Linked DNA regions of Mus musculus. The protein of the gene in region 1 binds, or shares a complex with, the protein of each later gene. Links are inferred from orthologs where the notes say so. Each region holds a gene or a part of one and is shown on either strand. Other genes may lie near its edges.

Region 1 (5,580 bases):
CGTTCTGCCTCCACTTCCATGTCATTCCCCAGGCCTTAGATGCAGGAGCTAATTCACAGATGCATGAATTGGAGCTGGACCCCACAATTCTGTATTTGATTGTTTGTGGTTTTCTAAACATGTTTCATACTAGAGCTAACTGCATATTTGTCCACTTGATACTGTTAGAAAATATTATATGGCATATAACAGAAAAAATCTATTAAATCCCTCTTTTATAATAACCCAAATGACTCATGTGCCTTTCAGGATTCTTTGTGCTCCCCGCTTCTGCTCTGAGGTGCTCTGTTCCACAACTGGGTCTCAGCGTTTACCATGACAACTCAGGATACAAAGTGCTGCTGTGTTCTACAGCACTGCTTCTCTGCAGTCCACCACCATCCAAGATGTTCACTCTTTCCACATCTTTTTTTTTTTTAATTAGGTATTTTCCTCGTTTACATTTTCAATGCTATCCCAAAGGTCCCCCATACCCACCCACCCCCAATCCCCTACCCACCCACTCCCCCTTTTTGGCCCTGGTGTTCCCCTGTACTGGGGCATATAAAGTTTGCAAGTCCAATGGGCCTCTCTTTGCAGTGATGGCCGACTAGGCCATCTTTTGATACATATGCAGCTAACTAACCAAACCCAGATGGGTTCTGTACCACTTTAAAAAACAAAACAACGCAAAACAAGAAACTCTGACAGATAATACAAACAGTATCTCAGCTTTGTTGTATGTTTTCTTACATGTTTTGCTGGATCTCAATTCTTCTTCACCATTACACATCCTGAGATAGACTCTAATGACTCTATCCTGCCAACCCTACCCATTGTTATCACACCATACATAAAAATACCATGCAACGCATGGGAAATGCCACATGACAAGGCCCAGAGAGAAGTTGTGTTTAGTGTGCTAGACAGCATGAATGATACAACCACCGTCACTGAGTTTCTACTTTAATTGTTTTATGTAATAATAAGCCTTTAAAAATCCAATCATTCAGTGCTCTAAAATTTGTATGCAATGTCTTGTTCGGTTAAAGAAGCAATTAGAATATAACTCCTAAATTAATTACAAAGGCGTTTGTGTGAAGTAATTTGTACTGGGTACAGTACTCATAGGCAATACACATTCTGAGTAGCTAAATGACTGTGCCCCAGGGGCTTCCAGATCCATGAATAAACTGGTGAACACATTCTTTGATCTGACTTTCAGTCTGAACAAGAACAAAGTGTGTGTGTGTGTGTGGGGGGGGGCATATATGTGTTTCAGTGTGTACACATTCATGGTGGGAGCATAGGTACTGTCTACCATGGGAACTTTCCTGAAAGAATATATGATTGAGTGAGGGCAACTTCAAAACTGGAAACTTTATGAGACAGTCAAAGGAGAAGGAGAGATTAGCTTGGCTTATGCTTCAGTGCTAAAAACCACATTCAAGAAACAGTTGGAAACAGAGGCAAGGGGCTGCAGAGGGATGTTCAGGGTCTGACAACACAATTCAACAGCCAGCATGACCATGAAAGGACTGGAAATGGATCCCGGTGAAATGGCAACTTACAATGAAGAAGGAGGAGGTGCTTTGCAAGTCAGCAGACAGAGGCAGGATACACCCAAGCAGGTGGGGGCTACACAGGGTTTATCCATAAAACATAAAGGCTCATAGTCGTAAGAACCAAGTGCTCATGGTGATGCAGGAAGCAACGGAACCAATTCTTAGAGCAAGTAGTGCAGATCTGAAATTATAATCTTAGCACTTGGGCTATCAAATGATTATGTAATAGTCTTGTGTTTACCAAGGAACAAGTCCTTTCTGCTTCCACTGAGACCCTAATTAACTGCTTGGTGCAGGCCTAGGTGCAGATGTGTGGTGCACTGGGGTCTCAAGATGGACTATATCTGAGCAGGGCTATCCAAGAACCAATGCCAACAGGCTGCTCAGCGTCAACTTGGAAGCAGCATTCACGCAATGCCCACCAACAACCAGTTCAGTGCAGCATTGACTCAAATTTTATTTAGAGTTTGAGAAGTTCTGGAGAATTATTTTTTGCTTTTTCAAACAGAATGAGGAAAAGGTTAAGAACATTTACATTTTAGATTTAGAGTTCATACAAACCAGTGAAAGTCTTATATTTTAAAGAAACAGGATGGATATAAATATATATATGAAAACCAATTTACTTTGCTTATATATGAGGACTGGAAGGGTGTGTGGGGATAGATAGCTCTGGTCCTGGTATTCACTTTTTGTTTTGGAAACAGGTTCTCATATACCCTGATCTGTCTTTGGACGTTCTATGTAGACCAGGATGGCCTTGAAGTACTGATGTTCCTCTTCATCCCCCAAGACTGGGGCTCATAAGTGTGAACACCAGACTTGCTTTCAATATCAGCTTGGGATGTGCTCCAAGGAAGTAAACCAAATTAAAACCAAGGTTTTAACCCAGTTCCTAATTTTATAGATGAGGCACTGGAACATAGATAAAGTATCTGCTTTGTTTGAGATCACAGACCAAATTTTGTAAAAGCTAGGCCTTTACTCACAGAGGTACATTGTCTATGAGAGTCTCACTATTAAGGCCTGGATTTCCTATCAAAGTTTCCCTGGCACCGTGGAGGAAGTGGCTGCCTCTCTGGCTCCTCTTCACTTGTCTTCTTACAGTAATATTCATGGTCCCTCTTAGAAGCAGGGTGACTGCTATTGTTTATCATGAATGTGTTTGAGAGAAGATAGTGAGCAGAGACAGATCTTATCTTGTTTATCCAATCTGTGATCTGGTTATTTTTTTTTAACAAGTCAGTCTTTACATTTACAGAGACATGGAGACATCTCTGGAAATTACCTCCAAGCCTTTTCACAAAGCAAACCAGGGATGTTCAGAAAAACTTCTCCACACCTTAAGGGACTATTTGTGCTCAAATGCAGTTTGAAAAGTATGACACCCTCCAGTGAAAGAATTAGCATATCAATAAATTCAAACCAACACCTGCAAATCTTGCCATAGGGGGAATTTCACTCAGAAGCACAGGATTTGCTAGGTTACTCTAAGAGAGTGAAATACCTGCATATTCTGGGTAGCATATCGTGAGGGGGCTCTTTTTTATTTTTTCTTCGAAGAGGTCCTTCTTGTTGAGGAAAAGGATGATGGACGTGTCTGTAAACCACTTGTTGTTACAGATGCTATCGAACAGCTTCATGCTCTCGTGCATACGGTTCTGTAATTAAAAAAAAAAAAGAAATCATTTTCATGAACAGTGCAGTTTCTGAGGATCTGTTTTAAAAAGAACAAATGTGGCAACTGCCAGATCCTTTCAGCTGAAAAGCACGTAACACCCTGAAGGATGTCCCAGTTGGTGTCTCAACTCCAATTTTGTCTCTAACCTGTTCTGTCTGAGTCACTTTGGCTTATTTCAAAGTGAAGAAGAAAGAGCCTTAAAGGTTTACTCCCTGTGATGGAAGGGAAGCTGGCCCCGGGGTGAAAGCAATTAACTCCTGATGAAAAAACCCGAATGCCTTCCCTCTCCTCAAGCAACAACAATATACTAGACAACAGCTGGAGACCCTGCACAACCAGGGCTGTGACAATGTGACCAGATCACAGTTCGACCCAGACACTAGGACCATGCACACCCAGTGCTTCCGGCTTTTTCTTTTGCTCGTCTCAGCTTCTAACAACAGCCTAGGGTGCAGATACCCTGTTCTCCCAGGAAGGCTGTAATGAATGATTTTTTTTCCCTCTTCTTCCTGGCCAGCATCTTCTAATTAGACTTATCAGGTGACAGTTGGCCAGGTACAGTGGTTGTGGCTTCTATCTAGTCAGATCTGTGCTCTAGAGCTGATAATAATTCCAGAATACTAACTACATTCTTTGTCATTTCTGGACAAGCACAACATAGATGTTAGCGGGCACCTTGTTCAATGTCTTTCAAACATCACTGGCTCATGCCTGAGAGCTATAGGATGTCACAGTCAAGGGATGTCCACATGGGAACACATGGAGGAAATGTCACTGCTGCACAGGCCATCTAAGCTTTGCTTAGGAGGTAGGTGGAAGCTTTAAGAGCACTGTGTCAAATGGAGAGAGCTGAAATCCAATTAGCCCAGCACAGTGGATGTTAGAGAAGATGACTTCCAGTTCTTGTTTTCTATCCTTTCGTGCTGTGTTCAAAGAGGACACTGACACGTTTTACAGTGGGGAAATGCAAAAAATGTATGTTATGCCCCATTTCCCCCCATGACTGATGACGGTATGAACTTGATTTAGAAAAACCTGAAACCTGCCCATCATTTTCATATGTTTATAAGTGCCAGAGTTTTCAATGTATTAGAAAATACTTCCTAGAGTAATGGTATATTTATTGGATGTTACTTGAAAATTGTTTTTCTATAACTAGAGAAGTATAACATATAAGGAAGATTATAGACCGACAGAGTAACTCATGGGGAAATATGAGCCTTTGGGCAGATGCAGGCAATTCCCAGGTAGATGGATGGAGAAACACCTGTGCCTTCTAAGCATCGGTGCCCTCTGGGCTGCAGCAGAGGCGCTGAAGCAAAGAAATTGAACTTGCAAATACTTCGTTCATGAGCAAGGACTTCTCAAGGCTCCTCAGCTAAGGTCTTGGCAACGTGTGCAGCTCTGGACATTTCAGGCTGTACCCCTACAGCTGCTTCTACTTGCCATTTCTTCATCTTCAGCAAGAACCAGGTCATAGTCACTCAGGGCCACACAGAAGATGATGGCGGTCACCCCTTCAAAGCAGTGGATCCACTTCTTCCGCTCTGACCTCTGACCTCCCACGTCAAACATTCTGTAAGAGGAAAATGTACGATTTGACACCACATTAAATGTTCAAAAGCTCCGAGTTCTGTAATGCCAAAAAAAAAAAGTTTCACATAGCTTGGAGGCTGTGGGATGGGAAGAAAGGAGAAAAGGGACATAGTGGGAGGAAAAAAAATGTTACCAGTTAATTTTCTCAAAGGGAAAAATGTTAATAAATCATTCTTATTAAGCATTTGATTACAGCTAGAGTAACTATAAAGCAAAATCAAAAGTACTCTCCACACACAGCACATCTGGGTCCTTGAGATGGCCCAGAGAACGCCTAGCAGCCTGAGTTCAGCGCCTGGATCCTCTCCACACCCACTCTGTGGCATGTGTGTATGTGTGATATCCTGTGTGCATACACACACATAAACAAATAATAACAAATGAAAATTTAATTTTTTAAAAGCATAGACATCCATTAACAAACATATGAAAGCACTTGGGGACATCACAGCAGCTGAAGATGAATGCATCACACTGTTGTCACCACTGACAGTCCTACAAAGCAATGAAGGAAGCCAGAGATCAAAGAAGCATACTGAACTTGCCAGTCCCAGGCATTAGTGCTACACAACAGGGTTCCCCTATTTCAACCAAGAAATGAGTTCTCTTAAAACAGAGAGCAAGATGTTGGAGGAAAGAAAAAGCAATTACAGGTAAGAAAACGGTTCTGAAATAAAGTAATTCAGAAAGGGGCCAAAAGGTTTGTGTGGATTACAGAATAAAATGGAAAGGGGTAGGGGCTTGAAATTTAGAATAAAA
Region 2 (6,163 bases), on another chromosome or scaffold:
AGCAACATTCATGGAGGCCTGGATAGGCGCACATGAAGGAAGGGAGACATAGCTGGTGAGTCTCCATGTCACATAGTCCTGAGTTCTTCATAGGGTCCCAGCCTCCACTTATCAGAATAATGACCAATACCAGGGCACTTTAGACTAGGATGGGGTGGGGGGTGGGGGAGGCTGGTGAGATGGCTCAGTGGGTAAGAACACTGACTGCTCTTCTGAAGGTCCTGAGTTCAAATCCCAACAACCACATGGTGGCTCACAACCATCCACAGTGAGATCTAACGCCCTCTTCTGGCATGTCTGAAGACAGCTACAGTGTACTTATTTATAATAATAAATAAGTCTTTGGGTCAGAGAGAGCAGGGTTGACCAGAGTGAGCAGAGGTCCTAAATTCAATTCCCAACAACCAGATGAAGCTCACAACTACACAACTATCTGTACAGCTACAGTGTATACACATATACATAAAATAAACAAATAAATCTTTAAAAAAAACAAAAAACAAAAAACCAAGACTGGGACCGGAACTGGCCAAGACTTTATAGGGATTTTACAAATTTTTATTGACTCTCATCCTCAATCCTGTGTCAAGATGGGGACATTCAGCCATTAATGAGATCTAAAGATCCCTTTAAATTCCCTCCCAACCCCATTTCCTGAGGGCTCTGAGATTTCTGAGCAACATGTCCGGTTCTACTCACTTTCACGGGAAGAAAGAGAGCAGCTGAAAGAAGCATTTTGGAGGTGCTGCACAGTACTGGGAGAGTGAGCCCTGCCAAGCCCTTCAGGCCACACACAGGCTTGAAGGGCAGGCTTGATTGTACCCACCAGTTCAGCTGGATCTTGCTGTCCAGTTCCAGGACATGTTACTTTGACCTCTAGTTAAGTGCCTGAACCCAGTGCAGCCTCTGGACACAGTCAGTGTGCTGTGGAGGGGAGCCGAAGGGTTTGCTTGTAAGAGCAGATCAGAGAAGGCTTTCTGGAGACGATACATTGGAATTTACCCCTCCCCCATAGAAGCTTCCAGGGTGCCTTTGGGGGGCTGAGACTATGGGCTTGGGGTAGAGGCTCCTCTTTGCCAGCATCCCCAAGGCTGGAACAGAGAAATGCCAGTCCCCACTGCCCAAAGTTCTCAGAGAACCACTTGGGGTGGGGGAGGGGCAGGTCCTCACATGACCAGCCTCTGGCTGTCAGTGTGGGGTGCTTGAAGCGGTGCCTGGGGTCCCCCTCCCCCACACTCATACCGTCTACATTTCTGTCCACTTTGAGGCATCCACTGATGTGTGCTGTTGGTGACAGAGGACAGTCACTGCTTCCCCTCTCCCTCGGGCACTGTTCTCTGTCTGTCTGCTGTCTGACTATTCGTGGGTCCCAGCCTGATGCTGGGTGGCTGTTTCCCTGAATGTGAATGTCTGTGTGTCAGAGCGTGGGTGTGTCTGTCTGTCTTCAGGGAGCCTCTGCTGCTGACTCTGTCCTTGACCTCCAGTATCTGTGTCAGAGAAGGGGGGCCGGCGGCTTTCCTCCTCCCCCTCCCACAGGCACTAACGCAGCTGCCACCACCCCGGCTGCACCCAGAACTCAGTGACCTCACCTGTCCCCTGCAGCAGTGACCACCCCACTAAGGTATCTCAGGGGGCATTCGTGGCCCGAACCAAGCTGCTTTGTGGGTCGCCCCTCCACCCACTGCCGCTGAGTTCTGGGTGAATGTTCTCAGCTCTGGGCTGGGTCCGCTCAGGCTCGTTCTTCCCTTATGTAACTCCACATCTGTGTGTGCCTTGCAGGTCACCCTGGACCCTGTTCTGAGCTCTGTCTAACCACGTGGAGATTGAGACCCCACAGTTCTGTGCATATGAGGCTGGAGAGAACCCCTGTTCCCGGCATCACTTTCAGGGACCCCTCCCCAATCTTTCTTTGGACATCTCTTACCCCAGAAACCTACTTGCCCAAAGCAAGATGCGAAAGGGAGTCCTGAGGCGCAAGTTCCCTAGAGCTGCGGGGCAGCCATTCTCCACCCCACCCGGGCAGTGTCCTAGGTCCTGACAAGCTTAGGAGCTACGGACAAGGGTCGGGCAGGGGTCACCAGGGGCGAGGGCACGAGGGCGAACGGATAGCCAAGGGACCAGCTTCTAGGTGCGACCTCAGACATGGTCCCAGCCCTGTAGCTGGTTATTGCCCGAGTCGGGCTCTCCGCCAGCCACGGTGCGCACCGGGGCAGGGGTTCTAGTCGGCCGGCGGGCACGCGGCGCTGTCCGTGGTGCTGCCCGCGCCGGGCGGGGCGGAGGCGGGACGGAGGCGGGGCGAGGGCGCCAGCCAATGGCGGGGGCTCTGCGCGGGGCGCGGGGGGCGGCGGGCCGATCGCGGGGCGCACTTGGCTGCGCGCTGAGCTAGGGGTGCACCGACGCGCCGCGGGCGGCTGGAGCTCGGCTTTGCTCTCGCTGCAGCAGCCGCGCAGCCCGCCCCACTCTGCTCAGATTCCGATACCAGCCCCCTCTGCATCACCCTCCCGGACTCCAGACTCGGCTCTCGCTCCGGTCCCGCGGACCATGCTCCGGGCGCCCCCCGGAAAACCGGGCTGGGTGAAGAGCCGGCAAAGATTAGGCTCAAGAGCAGGGGCCCCGCCCGGCCACCCAGCACTCGGCCCCTGCCCTGCCCAGTGTCCCCGAGCCCTGTGAGCCTGCTGGGCCATGGAGCGCGCGCCGCCCGACGGGCTGATGAACGCGTCGGGCGCTCTGGCCGGAGAGGCGGCGGCTGCAGGCGGGGCGCGCGGCTTCTCGGCTGCCTGGACCGCTGTCCTGGCTGCGCTCATGGCGCTGCTCATCGTGGCCACAGTGCTGGGCAACGCGCTGGTCATGCTCGCCTTCGTGGCGGATTCGAGCCTCCGCACCCAGAACAACTTCTTTCTGCTCAACCTCGCCATCTCCGACTTCCTCGTGGGTAAAGCCCCCAGACCCTGTCCGCTGCCAGAGTCCAGGGGCGCGGAGCCCGGGCTGGGCAATGGGGCTTGGCGCTTCGACCTGGGGTGGCTTCTCAGGGGTTCGGCCTTGGGAGAGGAGCTCTAGAAACCTTAGGATGGTGGGCGCGGGAGAAGTTCCTCGCCTCCCGGGCCGCAAGACGGGGGCTAGGTAGGGATGTCCCCGGGGAGGCTGCCCCAGCCGGCGGGCGCTCAGCAAGGCGCAAGGCGCAGCGACCGCCGGTGCAGCGTTGGCTCCTGCGCCGAACCAAACAAAGGCAGCGGCGCCGGACTCAGGATGCTGGGAGGACGCTGGGGGGGAGGGGACATGGAAGGGGGATTTGGGGAGGTGTGCTGGGGAAGGGGACCGTAGGGAAGGCGGGGGGTGAGATGAGGGAAATGCTCCGAGGAGCTCGTTCTCACGTGTCCAAGCTCTGCTCCCAACTGGGGGAGGGGGGGCGGGGCTCGCGGTGGGGGCCGGAGCGCCAGACACCTGTTGGGGCTGCGAGCTGCTGCGTCTCCCAGACGCTGGAAGCCGGTTTGGGCGGTGAGAGCGGCTGGCGCGGCTGCAGCCAAGAACCCTTTAAGCCAAGAGAAAAGCTTTCTCGGTTTTTAAGCTGAGAAGGGAGGCTGTCCAACAGCCAGGGTAGAGATGGATGATCGGCTCCAGAGCCAATCAAGCCAGGGAGGACATATATCCCATTTTCCTCTTTTGGCGGTTGGTGGGGCTGGCAGAAGCCCAGGTTTTGTGTTCAGAGGTCCCTATGTGGAGGTCCTTCCTCCTGCCACCAGGTCCAGAAGACATTGATGGGCTGGAGGATGGCAGCTGCTCAGTTGTAGGGGGACAGGGTGACTAGGAGGATAAATAAGATATAGTACTAGCCCTAGAAAGGTGGCTACCCTATGAAGGCCAGGCTCTGCCCTTTCTCTATGTGGTCAGTCTGACCCCAGCTCTTGAGCCATGGTCCCACCACAGCTGCTTTCCTATAGGTGCCTTCTGCATCCCATTGTATGTACCCTATGTGCTGACCGGCCGTTGGACCTTTGGCCGGGGCCTCTGCAAGCTGTGGCTGGTGGTAGACTACCTACTGTGTGCCTCCTCAGTCTTCAACATCGTGCTGATCAGCTATGACCGATTCCTGTCAGTCACTCGAGCTGTGAGTTCTGGGATGTGGGCATTAGAGTTTACCCTGTGTGTCGGAGAGCACTGGACAGGGTATGGCTGCTCCTGAGTTATAGGCAGATGGTCTTGCTCCCTTTTGACCGGTGGGCCATTTTTCTGTGACCGTTGGCTGCCAGTAGTAGTACTAGCATGAGGCAGGAGGTTGGCTTGGAATTCCATACTATTGCAGAAAGGGGTGTCAGGGTCCATCCTCTATCCTGGACAGGTACAGGATTCCTGGAACTGAAGGAGGGTCTTCATCCTTCCCACTTTTGTGTGCATGAAGGCGTGCTCACATAACACCAGGAAGCCGCAGTCCCTAACTGCACACGCTCCCCTAAATGGCTGTTGTAAGATAGCTCTGGGACCCAGGCAGAGGGAGAGGAGGACACTGGTGTGGAGTGGGGGTCCATCTCCCACTTCCCCAACTCCTCTTCTCAGTGGCTCACTCCCTTCAGGTTTTGTCAGGATGCATCCTGAGGATGCTTGCAAAGAGCACCAGCATGGAGCCCTCTTGAGCTTCCCTAGGTCCCCTGTACCATCCCCTGAACCACAGGGCTATTGTGACTAAGGTGCCCAGTACAGTGCTGGCATGTGGCATGTGTACCCTAGACCTGTGGTTAGCTTGTGTGGTTCCCAAGGTGGCTGTCAAGGACACTTGTCTCAGCTGTCCCTCTGAGGCCCCTTAGCAGGATTTTTGGCCCCTCCTGCCACCCTTCCCCTTGCTTACTCAGCGCACTTGGAGCTTACTTTGTTTCTTGGAAAAAGACTAGATGGTCCCACCTTCCTACCTTTTCTAGCCATTCACCTTCTAGAAAAGAAGACAGACTATTTAATTTTTGTGGGGTGGGGTGGGGTGGGAGGAGTCTCTAGCAGTGGGCCAGCAGGTTTCCCTTCTGTATTCCCAGCTCCAGTAGTGAGAGGAAGGAAATACTGGTGCAGAGTTGGGACAAAGCCCTTCCCTTTCAGCACAGCAAACCGTTGAAGACAGCTCTCTGGCCCTTGCAAGAAGCCTCACATCAGAAACAGTTGTGTGTGGCCTCTGGGTGTGGCCAGTGCTAATGACACAAGCAAAGTCAGGGGGACCCCATGGAGCTGGTGGAGGATGATGAAGAGACAGGATTCTGGTTGGTTGTGGTAGGCTCTGAGGCTCTGGGAGAATGTGTGGGCATCAGGCAGGCAGGGGACACAAGCAGGGGAGAGAAGGAACATGGCACCTTACCCAGAGCAGACACGGAAGCTGAGGCTTCTCTGATCCTCCAGTCCAATGCTGCTGACCTGTTGTTGATCTGTACAAACCACTGCAGGTCTCCTACCGGGCCCAGCAGGGGGACACAAGACGGGCTGTTCGGAAGATGGCACTGGTGTGGGTGCTGGCCTTCCTGCTGTATGGGCCTGCCATCCTGAGTTGGGAGTACCTGTCCGGTGGCAGCTCCATCCCCGAGGGCCACTGCTATGCTGAGTTCTTCTACAACTGGTACTTTCTCATCACGGCCTCCACCCTCGAGTTCTTCACACCCTTCCTCAGCGTTACCTTCTTCAACCTCAGCATCTACCTGAACATCCAGAGGCGCACTCGTCTTCGGCTGGATGGGGGCCGAGAGGCTGGTCCAGAACCCCCACCTGATGCCCAACCCTCGCCACCTCCAGCTCCCCCCAGCTGCTGGGGCTGCTGGCCAAAGGGGCACGGGGAGGCCATGCCATTGCACAGGTATGGGGTGGGTGAGGCAGGCCCTGGTGTTGAGACTGGGGAGGCTGGCCTCGGGGGTGGCAGCGGTGGAGGCGCTGCTGCCTCGCCTACCTCCAGCTCCGGCAGCTCCTCAAGGGGCACTGAGAGGCCACGCTCACTCAAAAGGGGCTCCAAGCCATCAGCGTCTTCAGCGTCCTTGGAGAAGCGCATGAAGATGGTATCCCAAAGCATCACCCAGCGCTTTCGGCTGTCGCGGGACAAGAAGGTAGCCAAGTCGCTGGCTATCATCGTGAGCATCTTTGGGCTCTGCTGGGCCCCGTACACACTCCTCATGATCATCCGGGCTGCTTGCCATGGCCACTG

What was found. Proteins that work in one complex are often made in the same cells at the same time.
Region 2: the proteins of Gnai1 (region 1) and Hrh3 are in contact, whole or in part, in a cryo-EM structure (PDB 8YUU), measured with the Homo sapiens proteins. The link is inferred for Mus musculus from reciprocal best matches to the Homo sapiens genes GNAI1 and HRH3. Residues at the interface, in NP_002060.4 of Homo sapiens: Ala31, Arg32, Glu33, Val34, Leu194, Thr219, Lys314, Asp315, Glu318, Ile319, Tyr320, Thr321, Thr340, Asp341, Ile343, Ile344, Asn347, Leu348, Lys349, Asp350, Cys351, Gly352, Leu353, Phe354; in NP_009163.2 of Homo sapiens: Asn69, Asp131, Arg132, Ser135, Val136, Ala139, Val140, Ser141, Tyr142, Arg143, Ala144, Gln146, Ile221, Ile225, Arg228, Arg232, Phe344, Thr345, Phe348, Arg349, Arg352, Asp353, Lys355, Val356, Ser359, Leu360, His416, His417.

The regions. Positions count from the first base shown.
Region 1 is NC_000071.6:18,268,775-18,274,354, forward strand, and holds part of Gnai1 (guanine nucleotide-binding protein G(i) subunit alpha-1), read right to left. Parts: intron 4,802-5,580; coding exon 4,672-4,801; intron 3,206-4,671; coding exon 3,052-3,205; intron 1-3,051. UniProt on the Homo sapiens protein: Guanine nucleotide-binding proteins (G proteins) function as transducers downstream of G protein-coupled receptors (GPCRs) in numerous signaling cascades.
Region 2 is NC_000068.7:180,100,671-180,106,833, reverse strand, and holds the start of Hrh3 (histamine H3 receptor), read left to right. Parts: upstream 1-2,426; 5' UTR 2,427-2,682; coding exon 2,683-2,932; exon of another isoform or gene 2,933-3,120; intron 3,121-3,938; coding exon 3,939-4,105; intron 4,106-5,417; coding exon 5,418-6,163. UniProt on the Homo sapiens protein: The H3 subclass of histamine receptors could mediate the histamine signals in CNS and peripheral nervous system. Signals through the inhibition of adenylate cyclase and displays high constitutive activity (spontaneous activity in the absence of agonist).